Arabidopsis thaliana: one gene and its partners. The protein of the gene in region 2 interacts with the protein of the main gene of each other region in a pairwise test. Each region holds a gene or a part of one and is shown on either strand. Other genes may lie near its edges.

Region 1 (7,819 bases), on a different chromosome or scaffold from region 2:
AGAAATAATGGGCTTTACGGAGATGACACGTTGATGCTTACTCAGTCAACTTGCTACAGTTATTAACGAGCTGCTTGACACGACTCCGATTAATCTTAATCCATTTTCTGTTTCCCCCAAGAAATCAAGATAATTACCCACATTTGGGATTTTTTATAAAACTGTTTTCCGTGTTAGGTCTTTTCAATATCAGTTAGATAGTACTATTATTTATCTATTTGAAATCTAAGTGCAATATTTCGGATAAATATGTTTTAAAGTTAAAAGTTTTATATTTATTCACATCATAAGAAAAATATAGGTGTTATTAGAAGAAGAGATTTATAAATCGATCACACATAATAACTGGGAAGAGAAGGTAGCTTCGAGGATTAGTTGGTTTACTTGTCGACAAAGTCATATCTACCATGTAATAATTAGGTCTTTTTCAAGTTTTGAGTTTGGAGACATTTATTTGAGTTTGACTTTGGTCTTATTATATGCTTGGGCTATTGTACACGTTTGACTCATGCTGATTAGAGTATGTATAGTTAAATATAATAATTAAAATGTTAGAATCTGGTGTGGATTAGACTTTCGCGACATTGTTGAAAATTTGTGAATGCATCTATCTAAAAGTTGGTTTAGTGGAGTTTCTATGTGCACAACTGAAGTACATCACTATATTTGGACAATATTGAATTATATTTGAATTTATTGTCTTGAAGAATAATTTGCAACATTACATACCAAATGTTGGCTCTCTTACGGAGAGCGTATAAGCGCCACTTGACGTGGGCTTATATGGGCCCGGTTAAGGGTAAATGTTTAGTGGCCACAATTCTGAAACAGCTTCCCTTCTTCGGCCCATACTGGAGTACAAAAGTAACGCAATTAAGAAAAAGCGTTACAGGATTAATCCAAAACGGCATCGTTAGAAGAAGAGAGCACACATAGCGAAAACCCTAGTACCTTTATTTGAGCCAACACTTTCATTTCTCTCCTTCTCCACCAGTTTTCCCCCAATCGCTCCTCCTTAAACCCTAACATTTTTGCTTCCCCTGTTTCGATTCTCGAGAGTTATCAGAGATGAGTTCGGACGATGAGAGAGACGAGAAGGAGCTGAGTCTTACCTCTCCTGAAGTCGTCACCAAGTACAAGAGCGCCGCTGAGATCGTTAACAGTAATACACCCTCTCTTTCTTCCTTTCTTGTTTTAAGTCCGATTTGGATTTAGGGTTTTGAAGGTGTAGCTTTATCGAGTATTGATTTCTGTTGGGTTTTCAATTGCAGAGGCGTTACAGGTTGTTTTAGCTGAATGCAAACCAAAAGCTAAGATTGTTGATATCTGTGAGAAAGGAGACTCTTTTATTAAAGAGTGAGTATATCTCAATTTGTTCTTAATGTAGATTCGACCTTGGATTACTCTTAGATATTTATGTGTTTGTTCTTTCTTCTGTTTTTGTATTAAAGGCAAACAGCAAGCATGTACAAGAATTCTAAGAAGAAGATTGAGAGAGGTGTTGCGTTCCCTACATGCATTTCTGTGAACAACACTGTTGGTCATTTTTCACCGCTTGCTAGTGATGAGTCTGTGTTGGAAGATGGTGACATGGTTAAAATGTAAGTTGTCTTCAAGTAATACCTGTTTTTAGATGTTTCTGTATGATTCACCTGTGTTATTTCTGATGTTGTTTTGCGTTTCTCAATTGCAGCGATATGGGATGTCATATTGATGGGTTCATTGCCCTTGTTGGTCACACACATGTTCTTCAAGAAGGGCCTCTTAGTGGGCGTAAGGCTGATGTTATCGCTGCCGCAAATACTGCAGCTGATGTTGCTCTAAGGCTCGTACGTCCTGGAAAAAAGGTATCATCAGTTTTACTCTTACATTAAACTTGAAACTATAGGCTTTTGGTACTATAACTGCCTCTTGAATGATTGTCAAGGTTTTACAAAACCCAGATGATGAACACTTAATAAATGGCTATGGATTATTATCCATATGATGCTTTTTTGTCATAGTTACTCTGATGGGATTTTTCTTATTCTGATTTTTAGTCTGATCCCTCGTTGGATTTACTATGAGATGTTGGAACTTTGTCTAAGGTTTTCCTCTCTTGGTCTTGCACGATGCTTTTTTTTTTTAGCGGACTTCAAATGTAAATTGTTTTGGGAAAAGATTTCTGGATGAAGACCGTAATTGTTATGGATTCGCATCCAAATGAGGCCGTAGTTACTCTGATGTGGGAAAGTTCTTTAAAATAAAGTTTCTTGCTACGAGTTTGTAGTTTCTTGTTTAGTACTACAACATATTGCAATCAAGACATTGATATTCTGTTTTTCTTATCGCAGAACACTGATGTAACTGAAGCTATTCAGAAGGTAGCTGCAGCTTATGACTGCAAAATTGTTGAAGGTGTTCTTTCCCACCAGCTGAAACAGCATGTGATAGATGGAAACAAGGTTGTGCTTAGTGTATCCAGCCCTGAAACAACTGTTGACGAAGTGGAATTTGAAGAGAATGAAGTCTATGCAATAGATATTGTGGCAAGTACTGGTGATGGCAAGGTAATTTCTTTTGTTTATCGCATCCCGATCACTATTGGTGAACCTTTGTCTATTGCCATTGTTCTCACAATCTTTGACTTTGCAGCCAAAGCTATTAGACGAGAAGCAAACAACTATTTACAAGAAAGATGAAAGTGTTAACTATCAGTTGAAGATGAAGGCCTCCAGATTCATAATCAGCGAAATTAAACAGAACTTCCCCCGTATGCCATTCACTGCAAGGTGTCTTTTGTACCTTCTGAAGCATTTTATATTCCTTAAACTATTATCTCACTTGCTAACGTTACCTGAGAGTATTATCAATACAGGTCACTGGAGGAGAAAAGGGCACGGCTTGGACTTGTGGAGTGTGTGAACCATGGTCATTTGCAACCATATCCTGTTCTTTACGAGAAGCCTGGTAAGGATGATGAAAGGGTTTTGAATCTATAAACCTCTTTTATCTGAATCTTGATATCAAGGCTCATGTCGTTTTGGTTTTCTACCAGGGGATTTTGTTGCTCAGATTAAGTTCACAGTTTTGCTGATGCCAAATGGATCAGATAGGATCACTTCACATACACTTCAGGAACTTCCTAAAAAGACCATCGAAGACCCTGAGATCAAAGGGTGGTTAGCTTTGGGCATCAAGAAGAAGAAAGGTGGTGGAAAGAAGAAGAAAGGTAAGAACTTAAAATAAATTTCCAGACTTTTACCTTATATGACGTGATCCACATGTTGATTAAAAAGGTTCAATTTGGTGTTTTGCAGCCCAAAAGGCGGGAGAGAAAGGAGAGGCTTCAACAGAGGCTGAGCCAATGGACGCAAGTAGTAATGCTCAAGAATGAGTAGGAAGATTTGTCTTTGTTTCTTTTAAAGAATTTTTGAAACTTGAGGTACCTCTTTCGTTGTATGTTTGGGTTTCAAGAGAGTCTCTTCTTAAACAAAAAAAAACAAACAATAGTTTACCACCTTTGTGCATATTTTTGCACAAAGCACTTTTCATCATCATTTCTTTGCTTGTCCTAATCTTATCTCATTCTCTAATCAAAAATACTTATCTGGTTTCAGGCTATAACAATAACTCTGTTTAGAAACACTTGTTACCAACAAACTACTCTTTGAATGTGTTTACGTGGTAAGGATTTGATCCCACAGAAGAGAAATATTTGTGACAGAAGAAAAAAACTCAGCTCTTCAATAATCGAAGCTTATACAGATTTTTGGATTGGTTGATTTTGAGATTGTAACGAATAGTAATCAGAATTTCACTTAAGAAATTGTGATTGAACCCTCTAAACCACAGAGAGGGTTCTTGACGTGGTCCATAGTTCTTCAGTGGGGCGGCTTGTGGCTTCTTTTTCATTTTTCCAGAAAACCCCATAAACCTCTCGCTCTCGGGAATTTGATTGATTCCCACGAGGAAAAATCAATCTTCCCGGAAAATGGCAGCTAGGTTATTGTTCCGTCGAAGTTCTCAAATCCTCCGATCAATTCAACGAAATCCTCAAATCTCATCGTCATTCGAATCACCACCTTGCCCGATTTTTCACTCATTGACCACCGCCTCACCAGATCCATCGCGATTATCATCCTTAACCTTCCTCCGATCTCTCTCCATCGCTCGTCGCGGTCCAACACGTCCTAAGAAAATCGATATCGGAGCCAAAGCGCGTCAGATGCAGAATCGCCGTTTATGGACCTACGCGCTAACCTTCAGCTGCATCGCCGGATTCGTAGTTATCGTCCTTAACCAATTTCAGGATCAGCTTGTCTTCTACCTAACGCCATCAGACGCTATGGAGAAATTCGCAGAGAATCCAACAAAGAACAAATTCAGACTCGGTGGTTTGGTTCTAGAAGGTAGCGTTGCGCAGCCGGCGGCGTCACAGGAGATGGAGTTTGTGATCACTGATCTGATCACTGATATTTTGGTTAGGTATAAAGGATCTTTGCCGGATCTGTTTAGGGAAGGTCATTCAGTTGTGGTTGAAGGATTCATTAAGCCGTATACAGATGAAGTAAGGAAGGAAGTTTCTACAAAACCTATTTCGAAGAAAGCTAGGAACCTCGATTGTTTCTTCTCGGCGACTGAAGTTTTGGCTAAGCATGATGAGAAGTATATGCCACAGGAAGTTGCGGCGGCGATTGAGAAGAATAAGAAAATTATTGAAGCGGCGGCGACTGAACAAGCTGCTGAAGTTGCGGCTTCTTAGATTGGTATAAACTTCATTCTTTTTAAGTTAATCAAAATTTTCCCCAAGTTCGAGCTTTTGGTGAGTATTGTTCATCTTATAAGGTTATATTTGATTATAGTTTCTGGAAAAGAGTAGGAAGATTGGAATGTTATATTCCTGGAAAACAGAGATTTGATTTTTGAGTCTATTTGAGAATTAAGTGGAGAAATGTGATACACTATACAATAGCTTTGTTTGATTCCACAAAGCTATAAGCTAATCTACTTTCTTGTTGTGTTGATCAAATAAAGAACACTTTGACGAGGGATCAAATATGCTGCTTGATTCATTGTGTTGTTGGATGTTTTGTTTGTTGTTGATGTGCACACAGATTAGAGAAGCTATGTTTTGTTGCTGCACACAGATTAGATTGATCTAGTGAATCTTATTAGCTTCATCAGGTCGTGGGTATATAATTGTAAACGTATCACCAAAGTTGTAGCTTGTGTGACCTTATTCTTATCATGACTAGGTACTATAGCCAAAAGAGTTGAACATACAGGTCTTTCAGAGCTTCCTCTTAGTTGTTCTGGAGGTTCCAAGCTCTTTCTTTGTTGTTTTATAAATATGGGTTGAGCTTGTTGACAATCTTGAAGATGGTCATGCATTCCTTTTATGCATCTTATGTTTCAACTAGGCAATTCTGGCCCTGGAGATTTCAAGTTTGTACTTTCTGAGTCGATTAGGTGCCTAGTTTTTGCCTCTAGAATCATGGCATTGGCTTCTGTTTTGGCACTTCTCTTAGGCTTGTTGGTTGATAACCAACTACTAGTCTACTAATGTAGCTGTAGTTTGAAGTGTTCCGCAGTTACGCTATTGCTTTTGCTTTTTTTAAGTGCATCTTTATATATGCATCAGTCTCTCATTGTATAGCAAATTTATCGTGGGTGGTATATGATTCAGTCAACAAAAACTGACTATCAAGTATGGAACGAGTGGTATATGATTGAGTCATCAAAAATACTGACTATCAAGTATGGAACAAGAGCATTACGATATTTGTCACTACTATATTCGATTGCTATTGTGTGCTTGGTCCATTTTGAATATGGGACAAATCACCATTACTATACTTGCTGCCCTATACTAACTAGATTATTCCATATTCCTCGTAGATAGTTTTTGTTTTTTGGTTCAGAGAAAGTTCAGATTTTAGGCCTATAAGTTCTTTTGGTTGGGGACCATATCAAGTTAAATCTCTCACTATATGCATTGTGGCGGTTCGGCCGACCTGTCTAAAATTGGGCTTGTTCAAATCCTGCCTCAAATCCTGCCAAAGCGTGAGTTATATACATATACATTGACACTGAATCATTCCATCCAGGGCCGGTTGGCTGGATCCAAAATCAGTCGTTACCTATTTTTGGCAATCTTAAACTTATTGATTTTTTTTTTCTGACGTTTCACAAATCATCATCATATGTGAAAAACCAAAACATCTATATTAAGAAGAAAAAAAATATTGTTACAATTTCTGAAAATATTTGGTTCATTTAGTCCTTAAAAATTCTAATTACCAAAAAAGACAAATATATAACAATTGAAACACATGTGTGTTATCAGGAGAATTTGTATGTTTTGAGGAGGTGTGCATCATCCGTCTATCAATACCCTGACAAGGAAAACCCTAATTTTTTTTGGCCCAAAGGGTTTTATACTTTAATCTCATACTCCGATTCATTGTCGAAAAACGATGATGCATAATTCAACCGAAGAATCGGAATGGGAGGTGAGACCTGGTGGTATGCTCGTCCAACGAAGAGACGACGCCGCTTCCTCCGACCACAAACCTCTCCAGGATCCCGACTCTGCTTCCGCCGCTTTTGCTCAAACCATCAGAATCACTGTTTCTCATGGCTCATCGCACCACGATCTTCATATTTCTGCTCACGCCACTTTCGGTAACAAAACTCTCAGCTCCGTTTCTGATCCATCGCCTGAAAATTCCAAATAATCGAAGCCTGAGAGAATTTAGCGTGATTCATTATGAAATTTTTCTTGCTCTATTTAGTTTTTGTTGAAGTTGTGTTAGTGTAGTTGAAGATTGATATGTTTAAGCTCGAATGTGATAACTAGGGGATGTGAAGAAAGCTCTTGTTCAGAAAACTGGATTGGAAGCTAGTGAATTGAAGATCTTGTTCAGAGGAGTTGAGAGAGATGATGCTGAACAATTGCAAGCTGCTGGTGTTAAGGATGCGTCTAAGCTTGTTGTTGTTGTTGAGGATACGAATAAGAGAGTGGAACAACAGCCTCCTGTGGTAACTAAAGAGATGGAAAAAGCTATTGCTGCTGTTAACGCGGTTACAGGAGAGGTCGATAAGCTCTCGGATAGAGTGAGTTTTTATAAGCCTGTATTTCTTTTGGAGATGACGGAAGGATTGTGCTTAAGCTAGTTTTTTTTGGTAATTAGGTTGTTGCTTTAGAAGTTGCTGTGAATGGAGGGACGCAAGTTGCGGTGCGGGAGTTTGACATGGCTGCAGAGCTTCTTATGAGGCAGCTGCTCAAATTGGATGGCATTGAGGCTGAAGGGGACGCTAAAGTACAGCGTAAGGCTGAGGTTAGTTTTCTTGCTTTGTTAAGCATGTTTACACGGTAAGAGTGTTAATAGAGTTGGAAGATATATGAGTTGTGGTTTGTGTTGGCAGGTACGTAGAATCCAAAACTTGCAGGAGGCTGTGGATAAGTTGAAGGCAAGATGTTCAAATCCGTTTGTGGATCAGAGCAAAGCTGCAGCTGTAAGCACTGAGTGGGAATCGTTCGGAAACGGTGTCGGAAGCTTGAACCCTCCTCCGCCAGCTTCGCCTTCGGCCAATGTAACTCAAGATTGGGAGAAATTTGACTGACATTTTAGTACTGCTACGTTGCCTTGGAAAAAAATGCTTATTGAAACTGTTTATCTTTTTGATTATTGTTAAATATTGGAAAACGACCATCGTCTTTATCTTCTAATGTATAGATATATTATATATAGTATCGGAAATCTACATCTCTGTACGTTATGTTGGAATAATCCCTGGGAATAGTCTTTGATGTCTCTCAGTCTCTGTCGTGCCT
Region 2 (7,505 bases):
CAAAGCATATATAGACCTTTCAAATTAGACGCCAAGACCATTCCTAAGTCAATTATGGTATTCCTACAATGAAATAACTATTGAACTACTTGGTGCTAAATTATAGTATATTCTACAATGAAACACAAAGCATTGACTGTTTCAAATTATTTGGTGAAATTATTATTTTAAGACCAACTACACCAAAACCAATTATATAAAGTCGCTTTTGTTTATTGAATTTGAAACACAAAACATAGACCTTTCCAATTCGCTGGCGCTAAATTGTTCTTTTATACCAACAATTTCAGGAAGATATATAGGATTCAATCGTGACACTTGGCTTTATTTGATAAATAAATAGAGTATTACAACATTTTAAACAAAAGAAAGAAGAAAGCGACATGATCATTCTTCTTTTTATCTGCATAAGCATCTGGAACAACAACCACAGATAATGCAGGCAAAGATTCCAAAGCATAATAGGATTATAGACGTAGTCAAATTTATCTCATCAGTAATGTCACCAACGAAGTCTATCGATTGGGAAAGATATAGTATCATAGGATACAGAAAACAAACTCCCGCACAGGGGAGATTACGAAGAACATGTAGAATGCAGCTGATAGCAAGGAAAGTCATACATAACCTGCAAAAGGAAAATGCAGGGTGGTATTATTAGAGAGACTTCGTTAATTTAGTCTGTTTTCGGGACACGAATATATAGTTATAATTTTCTTCTGATGCGCACCAGAACTGTTGCGTAGTATTATCTATAGATGATGAGTTGTTGATAAGATGCCATAAAAGCACCACAACCCAACCCACGAAGAAATATTCAAGCATCTTTTTCAAAATGTCCACCACCTCGTAGATTCTGCAAATCAATAAAACCACTATATCGGTTTCGGTTTCTAATGCCTTTAAAACAAATAATTAACATACAAATTATAGTTTATACCTTGTCTCTGTGCTAACACTTCGGTAAGAATGCCAGAAACGCAAACCTAGAATAGGGAGTGTGGCAATACAGCAACCGGTATAACTGAGGATCAGTGTAGGAAACATTTTTTGTGGAGGTTGTTCATCTTTTGCCAGAGTCAGAACAACAATGGCGGCAACAATCTGGACTAAAGCCACAACAAACTCGACCAAAATACAAACAGTGGTAAATGTAAATATATCACTCCATTGGACACCCTCATGCGGTCTTTTCTCATCAGCTGATGAAGGATTGCCATTGGTTGTAACGTCGACGATGTGCTCTTCATTTGAAGAAGAATCGCCATGGATTGTAACGTCATCGACGATGTGCTCACTCTGAGTCAACAAAGGGTCCTCCATTTATCACTTCTGCTTTCTTCTATTTTCCCCAATCGAATTAAAAGTCCTTATTAATCCGCTTTAAAACACAGAGCACATAAAGCCATCTCCAGTTCTTTGGTGCTTAATTATTATTTTAAGACCAATCTACGTCGAGATCTATTCTATAAGTCAATTGTAATATTTCGAAGTCGTCGTTCGGTTCTAAATTATTACTCCAGATCGACATCATTCGTAATCCTAGGTCAAATATAATTCATATTCATTCGACGTTTAATTACAAAGCACATGTTGCGTTTAGTTCTTTCGTGCTAAGAAGTGTCTAAAAGTCGTTGTAAAATAAAATTAAAAAAAATGAACAGTCGAAAAGTCAATTGTATGAAATTAAATGCATAATCGAAACTTTCTATTAAATATAAAATTCATATTATGATAAAAAAAATATGTATTACAATTCTTTCTATTTTGTTGAAATCGATTATTTAAAAAATATCTTTAAAACTTCAATTTTCAGAATTCAAATAAAAGTGATCATTAAAACATTACAATTACCTTAAACAAATCGGATGCGAACGTAACTGAAATGATATCTCAATAATTGAACCATATCTTAATATTGCAAGACAACGAATCTGAAGTTGAGCATAAACAAACGGAAAGAAAATTGAACTAATAAAACCTCTATGGTATCAGGATTAAAATTTGTATCCTAACCGTAACCAATATCAGATCAAACCATTCATATATATATTATTTATTTTGTTTTAAAATAAAACAATATCATATCTATAATTTTGGTATAAGAATTAATAACAAATTCTTATACCCAAAAAAAAACATAAAAGCATAGATATGTCCGATTCGTTGGAGCTAAATTATTATCTCGAGACCAACTGACCAATTCCAATTCTACGTTAATTATAGTCATTTATAATAAAATGGTTATGATATTATTTGGTGCTAAATTAGTAGTTTTTTTTTTTTAAGTTATAGACTTAAAGTGAAACACAAAGCCTAGACGGAACCTTTTGTGCCATTTTAAGACCAATATACAGCATCATTAATCTTTTAAAAGTCAATTAAGTTAACTTCCACGTCGTTATGACAGCGACAGTTAATGGAAGGTAGCCAGAGAAGTCACTGAAGAAGAAGGTGGTTCTTCAAAATCGGATCATATTGATGAGATTAAATTGTTTGTTGTGCAGAGGTATTGGCGCACAAAGATCGAGTGTTAAATTGTTTAGTTGAATAAAAGTTCGCAACATTGCACTACATTTTGATGTGTGCTTTAATTTAAAGGCTACCTCTGCTCTGCATGCGACCATTCAAGTTTTCATGTATTATTCCACTCCATAATTGACCCCCAAGGCCCCAACTGATGCAAAAACACTAATATTTGGTTACGGCTGATTTCTTCAGTCATATATATGTGAAAAACCAATTAATGGTCTTCACACTCCCATATAGCAGGTTATCTATTAGTGCCCTTAACCGAACCCGATCGAGATTGATTGAAGTCATATCATCTCTATCAAGTAGTTATCATCTTCAGGTTCCTTGTGGGTTGTTTGATAGCATAAGAACATATATGTTATGGGTGCACTCTTAAAAAGAATTGTCGGGCGTGCCACATGCTGTCTCAACATGAAGCGCTTCATCAAGATGGCCAAAGAGGCCTTTTACAATAGACAAACCAGTTGTACATGTTGAAATGCAGATACTGAAATGTTTATCTTGCTGCAGAGATATTGGTACAGAGAAGCCTTTAGTTTCAGTTTTGCCGGCCATTTCAGGAATAGAGGATTCGGTAATGCTAATGACACTTGGCTTTATTTAATAAATAGAAAGAGAGTATTACAACAATTGTTGAAGAAAACAACATGATCCATCATTTTTATCCGCACATTCCAATGATCCACGAAAAGGTTAACGCAAAGAGTCCAATGATGACCAAAAAGAGTGAGAGTAACGAATTAATCATCGTTACTATGGCGGCCACAAGTGCAGTAACAAGGGACACCCCAGGCAACATGAATAACTGTACGGTAAATTGGAAATTAGGAAGCACATATCGAATGCAACTGAAAGCAAGTAGACCCAGCCATAACCTGGAAAAGGACATTTGTTAGTTCTAGAGAGGTAAATTATGTTGTTTAGCCATAATTGTAAATTTAGTTAGATGCGCACCAGAAGTGTCGACTAGTATCTTGACGTGATGATGACTCGGTTAGAATATGCCATAAAGACACCACAATCAAGGACACGAAGAAAGATTCAAGAAAATTTTCCAAACGGTACTCCATCACCTCGTTGCTGCAAATCAATAAAAACCATTGTTGAGGATATCAGTCTCTAATGCCTGAAAAAGAAAAAGAAACACAGTTTATACCTTGTCTCTGAGCTAGCGTTTTGGATATACTGCCATAAACGGCAACATACAAAAGGCAAAGTGGCAATAGAGGCACAAGTATAAAAGATGATCCATGTAAACAAAGCTACATCTAGTTCTGGATCTCGTTCATCTTTTGTTAGAATCAGAAAAAATATGGCTGCAACAATCTGGACCAAAGTCACAGCTAACTCGACCAAAATCCAGAAACTTCCACTTGTAAATGGACAACTCCATTGAAATGCCTCATGTGGAGTTTGCTCATGATCAGCTGATGACGAACCGCCATTGATTGTAATGTCGATGATGTGCTCATCATTTGAGGAAGAATCGCCATGGATTGTAACGTCTTCGACGTTGTGCTCACTCTTGGTTAACAAAGGGCCCTCCATTGATCACTTTTTTGCTTTCTTCTATTTTGTCCAATCGAATTAATAGTTCATCTAAACAAGCGTTGAAATACAAATTACATAAAGCCCTCTCCGATTCTTTGGTGCTAAATTATTATTCTAAGACCCAATCTACGTCAAGATCTATTCTATAAGTCAATTGTAAACTTCTAACGAACAAAAAAAAAGTTAGTCATTCTTCTCTAAATACGAATAATAGACATTTCCAGCTATATTATTATCTTAAGACCTAATCGACACCAATACCAATTCTAAGTCAATCACATAAAGTCCTTTACAATGAGTAGACTTTCGGAGCTACATTTGTTTTGTGTGTTTTTGTTTTACCTACACCAAGACCAATTATTAGTCAATTGTAGCCCGTTAGAGTAAAATTTCAAAATATTTGGTTCTAAATTATAGTCTTCCTAATTCTTTGGTGCTTGATGTATTATTTGGGAAGCTAGAAGAAGTAATATGTCTTTTTTGTAAAAGGAGAAATCTTTGGTGTTAAATTTTATTATTTGGGAAACTATAATATTTTATTATTTTTCTTAGTTATCTTATCTTTGGTGTTAAAGTTATCTATATATCCATTTCGATTTACCCAAATCTGTCAAAATAATAAGGCCTATAAAAGGTTATTCTGAAACACGTGATTATTTGGGTAAATGTCACAATGAGGTAGGACTCGACTCGAAATAAGTCAGATTTTAAAAAGCCCATTAAAGTACGGGCCCTTAAAATACATATCTGAATAGCGAAAACGCACGAATAAGAATGGTCAGTCAAAACTGTCATTTAATGGAGAATAATATTAACGAGGGAGAAAAATAAAATAAAAAGAGGAAATAAGACGAGATGATCATATTTGATCATTTCAAAAAACCTTAGCTACTGTTTTTCTCTACCTTAATAAGATTAAAATCATCAACATGAACACAAAACATTTTTATTCTGGTACTCTGCTTTACTTTGATTTTAAACGCCCATTCTCCTAGGCTTACAAACAAAATATTTTTATTAGTTCGATTTCAGCAGATGCATGATACAATGCATGCTACAATGCCTTTTAAGACTTCCACAGCAAGGAGAACACATATGACCACAGGCGTAAGTAAAAGCAAAGGAGTAGTATAACAGACCATTGCCAATGTTAGATTAAAAAGAACATATCTAATGCAACTGAAAGTAAGGAGAGCCAAACATAACCTGCAAAAGAGACAATGAAGAAGGCCAAAGGCATGAGTATAAGAAAGGTCAATATATACGTTTTAAGGTATACATATGATTGGAAATTTCGTTTGATACGCACCAGAAGTATTGAGTTGTAGTATCATCTAGAGCTGATGAGTCGAATGCTTTGGAAGAAAGAATCCATAAAAACACCACATACCAACCCACGAAGAAACCCGTCATAAAAAAGTCCATATCCTTGTTGATTCTGCAAACCAATAAAACCATTATATCTCAATCTAATGCATAAAAAGATAAAAGAAAACACAATTTATATATACCTTGTCTCTCTTAAGTATTCATCTGTAGATTCGGAGCCAACGCTTCGGTTATAAAGCCAAAAACGCCAACATAGGATAGGGAGAGTGGCAATACAGCCACATGTATAACCGATGATCCATATAGACAACATTGTTTGTGGATGTTCTTCATCTCTTGGCTCAATCAGAACGATTATGACCGCAGCAATCAAGACCAAAGTCACAACAAACTCGATTGAATTACAAATGCTTTCATTTGTGTATGGATCACCCAATTCAACACCCTCGTGTGGTTGCTGACCATCAATTGATGAAGAACTACCATCGCTTGTAATGTCAATGATGTGTTCACACTCGCTCAACAAAGGGCCCTCCATTGATCACTTTTGGTTTTTCCTATTTCTTGCCGATCAAATGAAAAGTTCATTCAAATTTGCGTTGACGAGCACAAAGCATATACCTTTCCTTCTTTGTTGATAAAATTATTAGTATTTTTTTAGACCAGATCAATACTAAGTACGTATTAGTCGTGTTACAAATAAAACATTATTTTGAAAAATGAAGATCAAAGCTGAGATTTCAATGTTTATATATATTGCAGATGTTTTGGACAAGTTAAATTGTTAATAGGTCAAATGATCTGTATGATATTTATTTTCTGTTTTAAGACAGACAACACAAGAAGACAGGATCGTATCTTTCAGTTTCCCACCACTTTTGTTTATTGAATGTGTACAATTACTCTTGAGCGAAAAAAAAATAAAAAAAAAATCAACCTCATCTCATCACCACCTAACTTGTGATTGACAGAGAGGGCATGTGGATTTGATTTTCAGCCATTTGTCTATACATTGCGAATGAAATACGTGTGAGCATTCAAGTTTCCTTAGTCCTACTCCTTTTTCCTCTCCATATTTCCCCAAGCATATGCAACAACTCTGCACACACCATCAAACCATGAAAATTAAACAACAACAACAACAAAAAAATGCTATTTAAAACAGAGTAATTAATGTGATATGAAATTATTACTCACATCATCATGGCTCGGTTTCTTGAAAACAAATCTACCTCCTATACCTTCCCTTACAGAATCTACATCATTTGATTTCAACTTATCCACATCATAGATATGAGAAAAAAATGTTCCAAACTCTAGTGAACATTAAGCGAAAAAAATACCTGCGCATAATAGTAATGCATATGCAAATCTAATGCAACTGAAAGCAATGAAGACTACACATAACCTGCCAAAACATAATCAAGAAGACAAAAGTTAGTACTGATTAGTTAGGGTTTAACTAAATCTCTACTGTGACATGATTGTGAGTCAAACCTGTAGAGCTTAGGAGTATCAGAAGAAGATGAGTGTCCATAACAAATCCATAGAATCCCCATAACTAACCACACAACAAAGAAACATTCATTCCCCATCTTCAAAGCATCCATTACCCTATCCGTTCTGCCACCAACAACGGTTCGGTTTGATTTAGCTAATTAAACTCTTAATGTTAAGTGAAACAAGTGTTGTTTATTATACCTCGTTTTTGAGTAAACACCAATTCGGTTGTATTTGCGGACACACGAGAGGAGAATAAGGAGCGTAATGGTAATACAGCCACAAGTGTAACCGATGACCCATGTTAACAAAAGTGCTTGTTGATGTTCATCTTTTGCCAGAGTTAAAACTATTAATGATGCAACAATCTGAACCAAAGTGACTACTAATTCCATTATATTCCAAAGACTACCACAGTCTCTCGTAGATGAACTTGCACCTTCATCTGACGATTCGTCATCCGTAGACAGAGACGAACTTAATGAAGGATAGCTTCTCTCGTCCAAAGACGATCTTGATGAAGAATCTTCATCGTTTGTAATGTCGATTATGTGATCATCATTATCACTGTGGGATTCGCTGTCCATTAT
Region 3 (9,332 bases), on a different chromosome or scaffold from region 2:
TCATGCTTCTGCAGCTCATCGGCACGTTGCAGGTAAGGCAGAAGAGCCCTGGCTGGTTCGTTTGGGTTCGACATAGATTCTCTCTTCTCTCGAGCTCCGTAGCTTTTTCTCCGATTGATTTGTTAAGACAAAACAGCTCAAGAAATTTTCCTGTATTTAACGCGCTTCTGATTGCAAACTAGAAACGACGTCGCAGAAAGGACCTCTAAAATCCCAAACCTTCTTGGAAACTTTTTAAACTTTTAAATCATGCCCAAAAGATCTTTCAGTATATTACAATTTTGCCCAAATATTATTTCGTAATTCCAATTAGAACCTTGACTTTCATTCACTAAACCGGTCACTTCACATTAGTCATGCTAACAAGTACCAAACAAATTTGAGTGAATGAATACAGAAACAGAAACATCTAAGTAACATTCTACTCTCATTGTCTTTGTTTCTAAGTGTTTGTTTCTTAAACAGCACTATTAGCAACTAACAAAAGTGTAAGTAAGCATTATAACTCTCTTTCTTTTGATATTGTCACGGTGAAGCCATCACTGGGTCAGCACGAGAGACTGGAGATGCAGCATCATCTTTTGTGTTGGCTACAATGTTCGAAGGTGAAGCTATCTTGTTCAGACTGTCTCTCTTGGACTTGCTTCCGTTCTGGTTTGAGTTCATAGACAAACGCCTCATAGGAGTTTCGTTGAGCCCTCCTCCATTGACTCGTGTTCCCACCGGTTTCTTGGCACTAACGGGTCTTGCAGGGCTTGGTTTAGACCCAAAGGCGGATTCTTGATCTGTGTGTGGCTGTTCTTGCTGCTTCTTCTGTTCCTGTTAATGAAAAGGCAAGATTATTTTAAAAGAAGTTAGTTTCAACAATCGGTTTAACACAGGATGAAACAACTTACTTTCAGCCTCCGCTTCTCATCTTCTCGTTCTTGCCTAAGCATAGTGTATTCATCTAGCATGGCGAGTAAAGGAACTCCATCGTACTCAAAGGACATACTGTTCTCCTCTTCCCATGCCCGGGTTTTAGCAATCAACGTGTCAACCATAGCTTGCACAAACAAAGTATGATATATTCTTCAGTCTCAGTTTAATTCTATGTGTAGTAATAACTAAGAGAGACTTTTGGAAGTTCTTACCAGTAATCTTGCTGACCAGAATCCGAGCTTTCTCAGCTCTCTTGAGATTCAAATGCGCACCTCGGCTTGCACTATACCTGTTCTGATCCTGTTTTTCCAGAACAAAAACCCAAAAGAATCATCAATTGAACTCTATGCTTAATAAGTAATGTGTTTATTAACATAGCCAATGTTAGCATACTCGATTGTAATCTTCGAGCCAGCTCTCTTCCTCACAAGCTGACATCCATTTCTCTACACGGTCTAAAATTTCTTTTCTACTAAAGGCTTCCTCCTTGGCCTTTGCGATCTGGCTATCCATGTCAGCCAGTAACTCAGTAGGTTCAGTATTCCCAGCATCAATCAACGACATGATCCTCTCACGAACAACCTCTGGTTTTATTTCTATGTGAGCACGAGCATATATCTCCTCAAGCTCTGATTGCTTTTTGAATGCAATTTCCTTCATTCTGCTAGATTTCAGTTGATCAAGCCTATCCACTTCCACCTCAGCCTTCAAGAGTTCACAGAAGATTTTTAAAAGCAGTACTTATCATACACATTGATTGATACATTACAAATTTACGATACCTGTTCGATAAGATCAAGTGCGAGAGCACCAGAGGCAGTCACTTCATGAACTGAAGCTGAAATGTTAGAGGTAACATGGTCAAAAAGCTCCCTTTCCTCATCAGAAGTATCCATCAGATTCCATAGATCAGTTAGCTGAGTAGCTAGTTCTTGAAGCTGCATAAAACCAAGATACATTAATGAAATCCACAAACAAGAATGGTGCAGAGAAAAGTTACAAACTTTCAGCGCAATTAATCAGAAAGGATTTCAACATATGTGCAGCCTAAACTGACCAAGCTCATGTCAGAGATCACAAAGACCATGATTTTGACTAACCTTCTTAAGTCTTTGCATTTTATCTTCTTTAAGAGTCAAGACAGTCTTAGCCAACCTTGCAAGTGTTTCATTGCTAATGCTCTTGGTTTGAACACCATTTGCCTCATCTAAGCTCGGATGAACTTCGGTGACAGTGCTTAAGAAATCTAAACGAAGGACGGCACATAGATCATGCACCGTGCTCACAAACTCGAGCACCTTCTGTAACCTATCACTCTGCTCAAACACAAAGCAGTTTTAGTTCTGGTTTGAACATAGGCCACACATAACCATATCCCAACTAATATTTTACCTTCTCTTTCTGGAGCTCTTGGAGTTTCCTCTGGAAGTCATCTAATCTCTTTAGAGACAAGTCAGTCTCATCAACCACATGAGGTCCATTGTTCAATCCGCCAGCGATCTCCTCACATATCTTCTGAATCTGTGATTGTACATCAGAAAATGCCCGGACCCTTTCCTCTTTCTGTTGCCAAAGTTGTTCAAGCGCAGGTGCTATTGCAGAAAGTTGTTCTTTGATCGTTCCTGAAGTCTTATCAGGCTGCAATGGAAACAAAGACATTGAATCACACTACACTGTAACCATCTCATCTCTTTACCACTTGTAAGACGTGAGATTACTTACAATGTCGATATAGCTTTTTTCCCCGAGAGCAGTTGTGAGATTGGAAAGTTCAACAGTGGCATCTGACAAAGTCTGAAGAAGCTCTGCACGAGATTTTGCGGCTAGCTCAACTTTCTTTTTGTAAACATTCAGACACTCTTCCTCAATCTGTAGAAGCAGTTTGTCTCGTTCTTCATCACTCTCCCCAACCTCATCCCAGATTTCCTGTAACAAGTTTGTACATTGAGTTTGTGGAACCATATATTAAAAGGATAAGTGTGTATGTTGCGAAATCTACCTGCAACTTCTGTAGTAAGGTGCCACAAGTGATTTCACCAAGAAGAGGATTTTCTGCTTCTGTCACTGCCATTCTTGTGAAGTCAAAAGGTTTCCTACAAAAGTAGAAACAACGAACATATTTAGTGAAGATCCAAACTAACTATACACTAAAAGAAACCAAAGTTGCAATCTTTTTTAGAAAACCAAATTGAATCAGAAACAACATTTTGAACTTGGGAACAAAAACACATCAAAGAACTTAGTGAAGCTAAGAATGTGAAACTAAGCTCAAGAAAAGCTCGAAAGGAACTTCAAAGAAATCAAACAGCATTGGTGATAAAACCAAAGCCAAAGCAAGAAATCAACATTGAAGAAGTAAAGAGGCAATGAGCTGAAATGAAACTAATCGAATCCAACAAGTAGAAGATGGCTTTCTTACCTTAATCGATATTGAATCCAAATGGTTTATCTTCCTCTCTTTTAGATCTGAAGCGACGAATAGTCACTGTGAGAGTAAGAGAGAGAGAGAGCATAGGAAACAGAGAAATCTCCAACTTTGGTTATGGAGGTTGGGAAATGGGAAAAGTGGGACCCATTTTACGGAACTCAATAATTAATGAGGAAAAAACAACAGCAAAAAGGTGAGAGACCCTGTCTTTTCGCGTTATTTACTGATTTGACCACTGATCTCACAGACCTCGTTGACTCCTCATGCTCATGTCTGAATAGTTAAAAGGCTTTCCTTAATGGGCTTAAATATCTGACCCAGCCCAAACAGATCAAGACAACACGTGTCACTCATTCCGGGTTTAAACATGAAGCAGCGACATGAATAGTTTATTGGTTCTCTCTTCCGATGATTTGATGAAACCTCACCGCTAAGTGCTCATCCACCACCTTCCTCCTCCTCCTTCTTCCCTCACCTTTTGAGTTTCTTTCTTCACGTTTCTTTTCATTAATTAGGGTTTCGCATTTTCAATCACCATCATCCCACCACGTTTTCGTTAATGTAAGTTCATTCTCTTTTTTCTACTTGTCATGATCCCATTTTGTTGCAATGTTCACTTATGAAATTTATCCTTTGTATGTGAATCATCACGTTTTGCTTTGATGAATCATTTAGATTTCTAGGCTTACACATTCAAATCTAAATCCTCTATTATATGCTTGTTACACAAGTAATCTCTCATCAGATATCAATGTGTGTGTTTCATTAAGACGTGTATAAGCTCGAGTTATGGTTGACATTTTGAAATTATAGATCAACCCCAAATTCATTTCCTCGGATGTATAAAGAAACCCAGATCATCATGATTAACTGAATTTCAAGAACTCAATCCAGGAACTGAGAGCATTTCCTAGGGATCTCAATGGCAATGGAGAAAGATCTCAGTCCAAATTCTCCACGGATTAGAAAGCTAAGGGATACTAGTTACCCTACTACACCAACGTCTCGAATGAATACTAATAACCAGAGAGATAACCATTATCCCAACATTCCTAATTCACCAAGGGATTACAATTATACTCCTAGCTCTCCAACAGCTCGCATTCGACACCGCAGGCGATCAAGCGAGGTATCTATACAATGTCATACTCTCTTTTCCGGTTGAATCCAAAATTTGATTGTCTTTTTCAATATTGATCAGAATTTAGCTGAGGTGAACAGAAGCAATGTAAGCAGAGTAAGCAATTTGTTACTTGGTGATAAGAACAAGTACAGATCAATGTGGATAAGGACATGCTCATCTCTCTGGATGCTCGGTGGAGTTGTGTTTATAATCTACATGGGTCATCTCTACATTTGGGCTATGGTTGTGGTTATACAGATATTCATGGCCAAAGAGCTCTTCTTTCTTCGCAGAAGAGCTCATGAAGAACGTCGCTTACCCGGTTTCTGGCTCTTGAATTGGCACTTCTTCTTCACGGCTATGTTGTTTGTCTATGGACGCATCATTCAACAGCAGCTAGTCAACACGGTTTCTTCAGATAGATTCATATACAAGCTTGTGAGTGGTCTTATCAAGTACCAGATGGTTATTTGCTACTTCTTGTACATCGCAGGTTTGTCTGTTTCTTTTTTCTTCACAAAAACAATACTCTCTTTCTTGATTTATTAACAGCTTAAGTTGGATTCAGGTCTCATATGGTTTATCCTTACATTGAAGAATAAGATGTATAAGTATCAGTTTGGGCAATACGCTTGGACACATATGATCCTTATCGTTGTCTTTACTCAATCTTCTTTCACCGTCGCCAATATTTTTGAAGGGATCTTCTGGTACAATGGACTCTTATATATATCCACTGAAGCATAATAGTTTTCCCGAGTGCTAATTTCTTTTAAATATGCAGGTTTCTTCTACCAGCAGCACTGATTGCTATGAACGATGTAGCAGCTTACTTCTTCGGTTTCTATTTCGGGAAAACTCCGCTCATCAAGTTGTCTCCAAAGAAAACATGGGAAGGTTTCATCGGAGCATCAGTTGCAACTATAATCTCTGCATTTATTGTAATAACCTTCTTCTATCATTTATTCATTCGTTCGTAACTCTTTCTTTTGGTCTCAAGACTGATAGATTATTATCTGCTTCGTACAACAGTTTGCTAATGTCTTAGGCCAGTTCCAATGGCTTACATGTCCAAGGAAGGTAACAAAAAGTGATATCTCCATCACAATATTTTGTCTCGGCCTTTACTTCATCCTTGTGTTGCATATCTTTTGCAGGATTTATCAACTGGTTGGCTTCATTGTGATCCAGGCCCTCTCTTCAGGCCAGAGTATTACCCATTTCCCTCTTGGATTACTCCATTTGTAAGCAATTAACTGTCCTCTCGTGAAAACCAGCCGATGATGTTGTCTTGTTTTGAAACTGAGCTCCGTTGTGAACTTTGCTTAACAGTCTCCATGGAAAGGGATCTCGACCCTGCCTGTCCAATGGCATGCTTTTTCTCTCGGTCTATTCGCATCCATTATGGCGCCTTTTGGTGGCTTCTTCGCAAGCGGTTTCAAAAGAGCTTTCAAGATCAAGGTTAACACATTTTTCAAACATTAAAAGGTTTTGTATCTACAGATCCAAGAACAAATATTTACTAGTTTATGTCGCTTTGACAGGATTTCGGAGACAGCATACCAGGACATGGAGGATTTACTGACAGAATGGATTGCCAAGTAAGAGTCACTAACGTCGAAAAGTGCAATATGATCTTTGCATCGTTTTAAACGAATCTTGTTGCCTAAATGCAGATGGTTATGGCGGTTTTCGCATACATCTACATCCAATCTTTCATTGTTAATCGGGACTACAGTGTCGAGATGATCCTAGACCAGGTAAGAATCATCATATAAGCCAAGAATACGGAGGCATTGTAAATAATTGATTGTATTATACCTGCAGATATCGAGGAGCCTGGGACACGAGGAGCAGAAAATGCTTTATGAAAAGCTCGGAGACATTCTTCAACATAAGTTGCAAGGGAGGTTTTAAATAGTGAGTGCAAGTTTTGTGACTCTGTTTTCAGCTTCTTTCTCTATGGTTAGTTTCTGGTTGTATCAGACCATGTAAAACCTTGATTTGTATCTGATTTAACTAATCAAACAGAGACTTGGTAATAGTGTGCGAGTAGAAGAGATGTAAAATGATATTTTCCTCGTTCAATTATAGCATGGAGATAGAGAAAACAGACACAGAAGCAGGATTTCCCCTGCAAATGCCATGTCCAGCAACTTATGGGAGATCTTGTTCATCTAATGAATAACCAAACCACAAAAGAAAACTATGACTCGAAGACTCGAGAAGATGTTAATGGAAACATAGAACCGTAACAAAATTTATGAAAACCAGCTGACTTCTTCTTAAGCATCAGACTCTTTCTTTTCTTCTTGGTTCTCTCCTCCCTGGGTAACACCAACCTCAGCTGGTCTTATAACTCGGTCATACAGCGTGTATCCAGACTGCACATATTGACACCCATCATTACTAATTGGTATTTAAGACTATACAATATGAAATAAAGAGACAAAGAATTGAGCAAGCTTTATATATTTACCTTCAAGACATGAGCAACTGTGCCTTCTGGCTTAGAAGCATCAGGGACTTGGAACACTGCGTTATGTCTGTTTGGATCAAATGGCTCGTTTATAGGATCATACTTCTCCATACCAAATTTCTTAAATACCTGCAGCGGCACACATGTTTAACCGGTCTCATCTGCATTGCTTACTTAAGGTCTTATAATTACATTTCTCGATATTTACCTCAGCAAGCTGTTTCTCAGTCATCTCCACTCCTTCTAAAAGGGTCTTTAATAGTGGAGCTGCTCCAGCAGAATCTTCTGAGGTGTCAAGCTTTGAGAAGCTTTCTTTGACAACCGAAGAAGCTCTTCCAAGATTATCCGCCACATCCAATAGGCTCTTTGCAAAATTCTGCATACATATATAGTGAATATATATATTTCAGAAAACTATTATATGAAACAAAAGCTGCAAACCAAGTTCTTAAAGACTAACCTGTACGGCATACTTTTTGGTGTTTTCAGCATCACGTCTTGTTCTGTCCATGACATTCTCCATCTCAGCATAAGTGCGAAGAACTTTGTCTTTCAACTGCTTAATCTCTTCTTCCTTCTCAGACAGTAGCTCTTCCTTCTCAGCTACGAGCTTCACCAAATCATCGGCTGACAATTCATCATCATCACTCTCAGAATCTGATTCAGAAGATGAAGATGCAGCTCCTTTAGCACCTTTCCGCTTTCTTTTTGCAGAATCTGTCACAGAATCTTTAGATTCAGAGTCAAGACCTGGTTGGTTTGCCTCAGCTGTAGGTTTCTCTTCACTTGTCTTTGAGGCCTCAGTGTGGGTCTTCTTCTCATCTGATTCAGGCGAGGTAGAGGAAGAAAAATTGAACCTTTGCAGTGCAAACGAATCCATCATAGACATCTGAGCTGGAACAAGCTGCCCCCAAAAAAAAAAGTAAAATGGGTTAAACTCAGTGAAATGATACAGAGCAAAAACCTATAGAGAATCTAAACCATTCTTCTATTGTTTATTCATATATCTGAAGATTCAAACATAAGAGATCAAGGAAACAGTATCAGAAGATAGCAATCATTTCTAGAAACTCAAATGAGGGAAAGCCTTAAACCCTAACAAAACCCTGAATTGCAATTTCGGCATGAATAGTGATTAATTTGAGTGAAAATCGAACCTTATGCGAGAAATCGTGAGCTAGGGAGTGAAACCGGCTCGAGAAAACAGGAGTCTGATTCCTCGCCGGAAGAGTGACGGCGGATAGAGATGAGCGTATGCCCGCGTTGCGGGTTACTCGCGACAAAATTCTCAAAACCAACATCTGGAGATCCACCACAGATGAACAAACAGAGATCAAGAAGATAAGAGAATCGAATCGAATCGAAATGTAATTGTTCTGAGGAAATTGTTAATTTGCAGAGGCACACAGAGTGCTTGGTGGATGGATAGTAGAATTCACAATTCTCTCTTTCGGGGTTTTTAGTAATTTACGTAAATAGCCTTACCGCTGCACGAGCGGGCTGAGGCTAAAATGATCGCTTTGATTCGGCGAGCCTGTGAGGGTATTATTGTCATTATAGCAAATGGGAGATTTTGAAAGCTAATTTGAGAAGCCTCTAGAAAGAACCAAAGGTACTTGTATATCTTTGGGACAGACGAAGTCCATTTATCTCCTGGGCCTGATTGGTACAGTCCTACCAAACAGAACAAGCAGCAGTATGTTACTGTTGCTAAGTGGTTTGGCTTTTTTAGTTTCATTCTTGTGTTTAATTAAAATTGCTGGATTAATATAGAGGTTGTGTAGATTTGACGTCATTTGGATGGGAGAATTTGGAAATTAATGTTCAACTACTTAATCTATAATTCAACAAACGATAAATGACCACTTAATTGCTAATAGCCTCTAGTTAATTCAAAACGCAAACCTATGTTATGAACCACTTGTCAATAAATTTATAAATCTTTAGTTGAGACTCAAAAAACAAAGTTACTTTATCGGAAATGTCACATTTGACGCATGAGAGACACTTTCTTGCCGTTACTTGTTATTGTCGTTGCAACAACCAAAACTATGGTTGAACTAAAAAGCCCCAAAACGTGCGACACAGTTCACCCAAAGTGCAAATAATCTTTACATTCAAGACTCTAGACTCAGTAAGCAATAAAAACAGTAAGTGATACAAGAACAGAGAGTTGAGTTTTGAGCGTGAATCCGGTAAAAAGGAAGATGCGTTACATATACATCTGAAGCTTGCAATGGTACGAATCCTTCTATTTTAAAATATTCTGTCTTTCTCTCTTTTTTAGTAGCTATAAATACGGCTCTCTGCTGCACAACTATTATTGAAACTCTCAATCATTTTCAGCTCATTACTCACCTCAACTAACTCTCTGTGGCCAA

The links.
Region 1: the proteins of AT1G15610 (region 2) and G1 interact in a protein complementation assay, tested with the Arabidopsis thaliana proteins (one large-scale study listed by BioGRID).
Region 3: the proteins of AT1G15610 (region 2) and AT4G26770 interact in a protein complementation assay, tested with the Arabidopsis thaliana proteins (one large-scale study listed by BioGRID).

What each region holds. Positions count from the first base shown.
Region 1 is NC_003074.8:19,206,818-19,214,636, reverse strand, and holds G1 (transmembrane protein G1P-related 1), read left to right. Parts: upstream 1-3,787; 5' UTR 3,788-3,973; coding exon 3,974-4,744; 3' UTR 4,745-5,122; downstream 5,123-7,819. Other genes in the region: ATG2 (metallopeptidase M24 family protein), read left to right, coding at 1,069-1,162, 1,272-1,356, 1,452-1,601, 1,694-1,847, 2,334-2,549, 2,635-2,771, 2,858-2,949, 3,011-3,211 and 1 more; BAG4 (BCL-2-associated athanogene 4), read left to right, coding at 6,459-6,666, 6,842-7,098, 7,176-7,322, 7,411-7,608. UniProt on the Arabidopsis thaliana protein: Heme-binding chaperone that may be involved in cytochrome c maturation in mitochondria.
Region 2 is NC_003070.9:5,367,371-5,374,875, reverse strand, and holds AT1G15610 (uncharacterized protein), read right to left. Parts: upstream 4,120-7,505; 5' UTR 4,084-4,119; coding exon 3,692-4,083; intron 3,616-3,691; coding exon 3,490-3,615; intron 3,411-3,489; coding exon 3,197-3,410; downstream 1-3,196. Other genes in the region: AT1G15620 (uncharacterized protein), read right to left, coding at 400-628, 731-856, 941-1,323; AT1G15600 (uncharacterized protein), read right to left, coding at 5,115-5,292, 5,396-5,524, 5,598-5,953; AT1G15590 (E3 ubiquitin-protein ligase), read right to left, coding at 6,644-6,671, 6,913-7,038, 7,117-7,502.
Region 3 is NC_003075.7:13,478,309-13,487,640, forward strand, and holds AT4G26770 (Phosphatidate cytidylyltransferase family protein), read left to right. Parts: upstream 1-3,755; 5' UTR 3,756-3,910; intron 3,911-4,243; 5' UTR 4,244-4,271; coding exon 4,272-4,478; intron 4,479-4,550; coding exon 4,551-4,965; intron 4,966-5,040; coding exon 5,041-5,182; intron 5,183-5,256; coding exon 5,257-5,413; intron 5,414-5,504; coding exon 5,505-5,552; intron 5,553-5,629; coding exon 5,630-5,716; intron 5,717-5,804; coding exon 5,805-5,933; intron 5,934-6,016; coding exon 6,017-6,073; intron 6,074-6,148; coding exon 6,149-6,232; intron 6,233-6,299; coding exon 6,300-6,389; 3' UTR 6,390-6,635; downstream 6,636-9,332. Other genes in the region: EXT-like (hydroxyproline-rich glycoprotein family protein), read right to left, coding at 1-74; MAP65-2 (microtubule-associated protein 65-2), read right to left, coding at 526-819, 897-1,045, 1,134-1,221, 1,315-1,626, 1,704-1,859, 2,022-2,237, 2,314-2,559, 2,644-2,847 and 1 more; AR192 (Co-chaperone GrpE family protein), read right to left, coding at 6,758-6,856, 6,952-7,080, 7,160-7,327, 7,412-7,855, 8,109-8,252. UniProt on the Arabidopsis thaliana protein: May be involved in the synthesis of minor phospholipids and in modulation of IP3-mediated signal transduction.